2 linked regions of the Oryctolagus cuniculus genome follow. The protein of the gene in region 1 interacts with the protein of each later gene in a biochemical or structural test. Links are inferred from orthologs where the notes say so. Each region holds a gene or a part of one and is shown on either strand. Other genes may lie near its edges.

Region 1 (4,001 bases):
CATTTCTTTTTGAAGAAAACAAATTATCCACTAATCACATCTAATTAGTTTCAAAAAGAAAAAGGTACCATTTCATGAATCAGGCTTTAAGCCCCAAGTTTCCATTTTCTGTGAATATTTCAATGACTTAACATTTATCTCAAAGTTACCACTAGTGATATATTTGTTATTCAATTTAAGTATTTAGAGTTGTTCTTTACACAGTGCAATGGGACATAATGGGTTAAGTTTTTTTTCAGGCTGTTATGTGAGGAAAAGTCGTTCAAAAGTAGTAACATTATAGAGTTTTAAGTTCCAAAAGAACACTCTTCAGGAAAATTATGTCACAAAGAATTCATTAGCTTTCTAAATGCAAGTGTCCACTAAAAAAAAAAAATTTAAGTAGACCCAGCTGTAATTTTTACTGAACCTAGGACAGCACAGAGGTTTAATTTCATGCCATGTTCCTGGTGAATGTTCAAATATTAATGACTATAAAAGTTTGAGAAATCTCACTTGGATTTGCTAATATTCAAAAATTATGAATCTATAAATTTTAAAGACCTTTTGGATAAGACTGAAGAAGGAATGCACTAGAAACTTTTTAAAAAACTCAGAAAAAAAATCTAACTGGTTTGCAGGAAAAATTTATTAAGGAAAAAACAGTAATCTACCACCACCAATAACTTCTTCAGTGTTTGGAAATAAAAAAGGAAATTCCCTTTATTTGCATCTTCTCAAGTTTCTCAGCAATGACAAATTGCCAATGTGGTCTTTTAAAGACTAGCAACACAACTACAAGAAAACTGACTTAGATACAGGAAAGTCAGAAGAGAATGCTGCTCCCGCCGGTCAGGATTTACCCCTAAACCAGAAGAAGCCTTGCATGTATCAATCACAATTCAATCACACAGTGACAGGTGAGTATTTTTAGAACAAATTATCTGTTCATCTCTCTCACCATCTAAAACGACCGTTTGGGGCTTCACTTTTAAATCAGGAAATGCTTAAAAGTACAAGTTGTCAATAGGCAGCTACCGAAAAGGATCTTACACTAAACCTTCAGAAGACAGACCTAAGGGCAAGCTAAGGCTAGAGTGAAACTCGGTAAGGAGCGACAAATCTAAGTAGGTCATACTGCACGTCCTTTAAAAATGTGGTGTTTTAACCTTGTGTCAGTGACTTTACTGCTGTCCCTTTTCTCAAAAGACGAAGAAAAGTAAGTTTTGTGGCTTAAATTACAGAATGGGGTTCCCCACTGTATGCAAGACAGATCATGGATACTGTTAATGTCTACTTTTAGCACTGTTAGGACATCCATTTCTCATTAAAGTTTATAAAGAGATCCGTGGGAAACTTGGTAGGGGGTGAGGAGAGACCCAGGTGACTCACCCAGCTGACATGTGTGCACCCCCCTCAAAGTGATGCAAAACAAAAGTACGTCTGCGAATGCTCGTTTCAACGAAGTGTTTCAGAATGTTAGACCTCAACTGGTTACTACCTAACTGAAAAGGGTTAAAACCGAAACTGTTTCAAACACCAGCTTCCCTTTTACAAGATCCCAACAGGTTTCTTTTTTTTTTCTTAAAGTTATTACAAATGTTTTTCTTAGCACCCCGTTCCTTCCAAAAAGAATGCATTTCCATGGCTACTGACTTTTAAAAAAAGAAGCGGGGGGGAGGGGGCAGTAAGGGAAAGAGTCAAAAATTCCCTAAAAAAAGCACGACCTCTCATCATCTCAATTGAGCGGCAAAAGGGCAGAAGACAGCCTTTCCCCAACGTTGCGGGAGCGGGGGGCGGAAAAGGGCACCAAGAAAAATACAGCACGAGAAGAAAGCTTGGGGTTCGAACTTTATTGCACAAAAGAGCGTGGAGGGGAGAGCGGATCAGACGCTGCGGCTCTTGCCCGCGCGAAGCGGGCACGCCGGGCTCGGAGGCTACCGGGAAGGCGGCAGGCACCTTCACCTCCTCTGCCCTCGACCGTCGCCTTCTTCTTCCTTCTCCACCCCCCACGGGCTCCCCGGCCGCGGCTGCCCCGCCGGGCCGAGTCGGGCCGGGCCGGGCCGGGGGCGAGGCGGGCGGCGGGGGCCGGCCGGCGGGCGAGCGAGCGAGCGAGCGGGCGGCGCGGGGGGCAGCGCCGGGCCGGGCGGGCGGCCTCCCCCGGGGCGGCTCCCGGCTCCCGGCTCCGCGCCCGGCCCGGCGGCGGCGGCGGGAACGCGGGCGCCAGCTCGCCGAGGCCGCCCGCCCGCCCGCCCGCTCGCTCGCCCGCCCGCCCGCACACACACCCCGGCCGCCGGCTCCCACCCCGCTGCCCGCCCGCCGCCCCCCGCCATGAGCGCCGCCGCTGGCTGCAGGCAGAGTCGCTGCCGCCCCGGCCGCCGCTGGCTCCAGTCCGCCGCCATTATTCTTTGTTCGCTGCGAGCGGCGGCGATGTTGTGGGGCTCGGGCGGAGGCTCCATCTTTACCGCGGCCCCTCCTGCGAGGGGAAGGCCCCGAGCGCGGGTGTCCGGCGCCTCCCCGTCCCCCCTCCGTCCCCCCGGCTCTCTCCGGCTCCTGCCTCCTCCTCCTGCTCCTCTTACCGGTGGTACAAGCTCCTCCGTCACTGCTTTCGTTCGCGGCCCGGATCTCGCTGGAGTTTTATTCTCTCCCCCACGTAACACACCGCGTCAAACTACACCTCCGCCGCGTCACTCACCAACACTCCGCTTCTCCCAGCCGCCCGGGCCACAGGCAGCAGCAGCCGCCGCCGACTGAGGAGCCGCAGCCAGGGAGCCAGCCAGCGCCGCCCAGTGCCGAGTGCGCAGCGGCTGCGCACGGAAACAGCCGAGCGCGGCCCGGAGCGGCTCGAGCGGCCCCGCCCCCGCGTTGGAGGCGGAACTTGCCGAAGGCCTTCGGGCTCCTTCGCGCCAGGCGGAGCGGGGCTCAGCGGGGAAGGGGCCGGGCGGCGAGGGCTGAGACCCGTGCGGGGAGGAGCGCTCTCTACCCCGGCGTGGCGTTCGGGGCGCTGAAACCCCGCGGCGGAAATTTGCAGGAGGAAGCGGGGTTGGTGTGTGACCCGGTGGGGGAATTCCCAAGGGTTCTAGGTGACTGGCTGGAAACCCCCCGCAGGCCTACCCCGAGGCGGTAAGCGGCGGGCTCTAGGGCGGCCACGGTGAGCCCCCGCGCGCCGCCGGCCCGGGAACTTTCAAACACGGCGGGGACGGTGTGGGTGCGGCGGCCACCGGGCAGGGGAGCGAGGGCCACCGCGCCTCGGCCGGCACCCGCAGGCCCGGGGCCTGGCTTGGGCGCTGGCGCTCGAGCAGGCCGCGGGGGGCGTCGCAGGGCCTTGGTGGCGCGGGCTGCCCAGCGGCCGCGAGCGGGGTCGTTCTTTGTCCGGAAGGCAGGGGCTCCGGAATTCGCGGTTGAGCCCTGCGACGTGGGCAGCCCGTCTTGGGGTTCGGTCGGAGCGAGGTTGCTCCTCCTCGGCGCTCGAAATTCGGCCCCACCCCACCTGCCCGCCCTTCTTGGGGCGACATCCTGTGCCTCATTCTCTTTTCGCCGCCTTTCTGCCGCAGTGGTTTGCGCACCCACCCCCACCCTAAGGCTGACACTGTGACTTCCGTGGCCTCCAGGCTGCTGGCACTGCTCCCCCAGGTCGCCCAAGGCCAACCACCGAGTCTCCTCTCCGCTCCTGCAGGCCTCTCCCTGGGTGAAGTCGTGTCCCTTGAAGCCGACTTGTCTTTCTGGAGTAGACCTGGCCCTGCTACCCACTGACTTCTGCTAGGAAGAGAGTTCTCCTTCCTGTTGCTGGCCATCCCCTTTCCGTTAGTTGTTTGCAGGCTTTCCTTCCTGCCATCTCTGCACCAATATTTTAACCATGCTTATTTCTACCCATGGTAAACGCCTTTTCAGCGACTCCACCTGTTAGCTCGTGGGCAGTCGCAGCCTCCTGTCCTTGCTTTACCCCCACTCGTGTAATGGGCTCCCTGGGCCGCTTTTGAGTGCCCCTCCTGTGCTTTGTAAGGCTGTCTCATACTCTTCCA
Region 2 (4,209 bases), on another chromosome or scaffold:
CCAGGTGATGTGACACACGTTAGGCACCAGGTGACTGACCTGCTTTCCAATTATGCTGGATTAATTTACACGATTTAAAGACACTGCTGTGGCCTGATTTTTTTTTTTAAAGATTTTATTTATTTATTTGAAAGTCAGAGTTACACAGAGAGAGGGAAGGAGAGAGAGAGAGAGGTCTTCCATCCGCTGGCTCACTCCCAATTGGCCACTACAGCTGGAGCTGCGTGGATCCGAAGCCAGGAGCCAGGAGCTTCTTCTGGGTCTCCCATGAGGGTACAGGGGCCCAAGGACTTGGGCCATCTTCTGCTTCTTTCCCCAGCCACAGCAGAGAGCTGGATTGGAAGTGGAGTGGCTGGGACTAGAACCGGCACCCATATAGGATACTGGCACTGCAGGTGGCGGCTTTACCCTCTATGCCACAGCCCCAGCCCCCGTGGCCCGATTTTTAGATGTACGTTCAATCAACACGTGATGGATGCCTTCAACGTGTCAAGCACCCTTCTCCGCAAGGCTCCAAGTGTCTCCTTCCACTCTCCCATTCTATAGATGAAAGTGGGTCTCAGGAAACGAGGCGACTTGCTTGAATCCACGTATCTAGTAAGTGTCAGGGCTGGGACTTAGAACTACGTCTTCCAGCTCCATGCCCAGGCACGCCATGCTGCTGGGTTTACCCAACTGGAGCTACTTCCATGTCCTTGCACGCGGCTCTCACTGCTTCTTGCCTTCATCCTACGGAACACAATACAGGGTTCTGCACAAACGGGCAGTTACCCACTGCCTAGATGCCCGTCCCCATTCTGAGAAGGGACTGTATCAGATCAAATTACTCTGGTGCCTATTATAGCATCCTGGGCTGACAGGAGTGCAGTTGGCTGAAGATGGGTGATTCTTGCAAGTTACATTTTCACAATGTTTTTCACCACTGTATCCGGTCAGTCACTCCAGTGTTCAACAGTTATAAATCAAGATGACTATTCACTTCCCTTCACCGTTAGTTCACAGTGCTAATGAATTCAGTATAATCTCATCTTCTATCAGAAAAATTTCCAAAATGCAAACTTGAAGCTGATGATTCACTCTGTGAGTAGAGGAGGGGAATACAGCAGTACTCATTGTTTTCTCTAAAGCCAGCATTGTTTGCAAAATTCAGAAACTGTACAGTTGGTTGACTCCCAGTAACAAGTAGTTTGCTCCTTGGTCATTTAGCAAAACGCGGTTCACTGCGCCACGGTCAGTGACTAAGGAGCATTTGACTTGAAGGGCTGCCGCTGAACAGTGCAACCCTACATACATAAATCAGTGAATCATTATGTAAGACACGAAAAAAACCCAAAATCTTCAAACCAGAAAGCACCTGACACCGGGCCTGGCACAGATCAGACATCAACACCCGGTAAATGCAGACTGGTAAAAGATTTACGGTCCCTCTGAAAACATCCCTTGGCTTTTGAGAGCGAAACACGGAACATACACAGGGCATGTTAGGAACTAAAAAATACGGAGTGAGCGACTCAAGACGTCTAACAGAGGCACAGATGACCACACGGACACGGTGTAAAAATGCCAGCAGGACTCTGACATCTCTTCCATCAGGGGACCACGAGGGCACGGGCGAAACGCTCGCTACCTGGCGATCTCAGCACATGTAACAAAAACTGAAAGAGCCGGCCCCGGACTAACTTCACACTCTGTTCAAAACAGAAACAAGGTGTGCGAGGCGCCCACCTGAACCCGGGGAAGTCGACCCCAAAACGCCAGTGGGGCCGTGGCCAGTATTTGAAACAATAATGCCGACCGAGTGGTTGGCAGGCACGGTCTGCTCCGACATGCTCAAGTGTCCCTACATCTGAGACCGGGCTCCACAAAGACGAAACCCGAACCGGATGGATGGAGGGGGCCACATTGGCCATTTTCCGCAAGGAACAACCCGCACGGCCAGCATTTACCAGGTGTGCCGCTCGGGCGAGTCTGGGGTCTCGGACGGCAGAATGCAAGCGCTTCGAACGTGCGTCTCAAGAGACCTCTGACGGAAATGCAAGGCCAAGTGCAGTATCTCGCGCCGTTCGCACATCAGAGCAAGCCCTCCCCATCACTCGCGGACAGGCTCCCCCAGCGCCCGTCCCGGGGGTCGCGCCCACCCCCACCGGGATCCACCTGCAGGCCGGCGGGCGCGGTGCAGAAGCCGGGTCCCTCCGACCCCGGACGGCGCACCTCTCGCCCCCGACAGGATGCGGCGACAGATGTGTCACCTGCGCGGCCAGGGCGGCCACGCCATCCCCGGAGACGGGCGCTCGTCGCGGGGTCGGGAAAACTTTCGGCGGCCGCCGCCCGAGACCCCCGGGGCTCCCGCCGCGCGCGCCAGGCCCAGGCGCTCCGCGCCCCCTCCCCCGGCCCCGGCCGGCAGAGGGCGGGGTCGCTCACCCGTCCGCAGCTCGTGCTTGACCGTGAGGAGCTGCTCCCCCGTGTCGCCGCCGTCCCCGCTGGTCCCCGCGGCGCCGTCGCCGCTGCCGCCCTTCTCCTCCATCTTCTCCCTTTCTCCGAGCCCACGGGGCGCTCCGAGGGGGAGCGCGGGAGACAGCGGCCACCCGTCCCCTCACAACCCCTGCGGCAGCCCCGGCAGCCGGGGCGCGGCGGCTTCAGAACTCGGACGCCGAGACCAGTCTGTTTCCCGCTCTGGCCGCACGGCTCGCTCCTCCGCCTCCTCCCCCTTCGGCGGGCACCGCTAGTACCGCGCAACCAAGCGGCCCCCGGCTCCACCGCCTCCTCCGCCGGGCCGCTCCGCCCACAGCCAGCACGGTAGAGGAGCCACTCGGCCCGCCACCGCCTATTGGGCGCCGGGCGCGCGCGTCTGCCAACGCCGGCTCCCATTGGGCAACCCGCTCTGACGTTTCACGAGCAGCCCCGCCCCGCTCCTCGAATTGTTGTTGCCTGGCGGGGAGGCAGGAGAGGGAGGAGCGTGGCCGCTCCGATTGGTGAGAACCGAGGTTCTGCCCCGCCCACCTCCCTGGGTGCGCACGCGCAGCCGAGACACTCTCTTCCCTGACCTCCCCAGAACGGTCACACCCCTTATTCCCCAGCTTCTATCTGTTAGTAAACAGTGTCTAGTAGTCAGGAGGCGCTCGAGGCCTGTGATTGGCTACTGCTGAAAGAGGCGGGGAGGGCTGATTGGAACGATTGGTCCGCCAATCACGGTGGACAGAGGCGGGGCCCGGAGGAAAGCGCTTGTCACCCACGTGTTTGCGGATAAACCTCTGGTACTCAGACAGCGATCCGCAGGTGCGTGACCCCCTGGAAGACGTCATTGGCACTAGGGAGCCTTAAACGAGTTCAGTGACTTAAAATACAGGTGATTCTTGGGCATTAGAAGAATTCACAGTCCTAGCCTCCCATTAGGAATTTTGCAAAAATTTTACAAAATTTCATTTTGTGCAGGACTCCTCCTGGGAGCCGAAAGGATGGAGAGTCTAATAACATACAGCACAGCTGCTGCGCCTGATCACTTCTCAGAGGAACGCGGAACCCGACGGTGTGTGTGTGCACGCCGATACTGTAAGAGTGTGAGATAAAAAGCCAAGCTACACAGGTGGTGGAATCCCGCAGAGGGAACAGGCCATCCCCGGGGAAGAGCTGCGACAGGCTTTTAGAGCAAGGAGGCCTTGGAGGTAACCAGCTCCAGAGATGGGCAAGACGCAAGTCCCAGAGGCGGAAACAGTAACTGAGCCTAGGCCCGCAGCAGAGAGCGAGCGTGGGTGAAGTGCTGGACCCGGCCGCCCGGCAGGACAGGGCAGCTGTGGTGCGGTCACCGGGGACCTCCAGTGCCAGGCTGGACACCGCAGGCTGTATCTGGTCCGCGGTGGGAAGCTTCACACAGTAGGTGCAGTCTCCAAGCTGTTCTCTGGCAGTTAGCTTTGCTTATAAGAAGGGCGGACTACTGTGAAAGCAGGGCGGGAGCCCAGTTACAAGACCAGAACTCTGGGGCAGATACGAGAATGGGAAAAGGAGAGACTTCCAAGTGTATGTACTTGGGCATAATTCCTGTAGGCATCATCTTTTTTTTTTTTTTTTTAGATTTTTTTTGGACAGAGTTATAGACAGACAGAGAGAAAGGTCTTCCTTCCGTTGGTTCACTCCCCAAATGGCAGCCACAGCACCGATCTGAAGCCAGGAACCAGGTGCTTCCTCCTGGTCTCCCATGCGGGTGCAGGGTCC

Evidence for each region. The genes of interacting proteins can lie anywhere in the genome.
Region 2: of the proteins of CREB1 (region 1) and RPS6KA5, one has a biochemical effect on the other in vitro, tested with the Homo sapiens proteins (3 studies listed by BioGRID, with this or other methods). The link is inferred for Oryctolagus cuniculus from reciprocal best matches to the Homo sapiens genes CREB1 and RPS6KA5.

What each region holds. Positions count from the first base shown.
Region 1 is NC_091434.1:32,262,049-32,266,049, forward strand, and holds the start of CREB1 (cyclic AMP-responsive element-binding protein 1), read right to left. Parts: upstream 2,801-4,001; 5' UTR 2,675-2,800; exon of another isoform or gene 2,559-2,674; intron 1-2,558.
Region 2 is NC_091451.1:36,524,792-36,529,000, forward strand, and holds the start of RPS6KA5 (ribosomal protein S6 kinase alpha-5), read right to left. Parts: upstream 2,807-4,209; 5' UTR 2,525-2,806; coding exon 2,422-2,524; intron 1-2,421. UniProt on the Homo sapiens protein: Serine/threonine-protein kinase that is required for the mitogen or stress-induced phosphorylation of the transcription factors CREB1 and ATF1 and for the regulation of the transcription factors RELA, STAT3 and ETV1/ER81, and that contributes to gene activation by histone phosphorylation and functions in the regulation of inflammatory genes.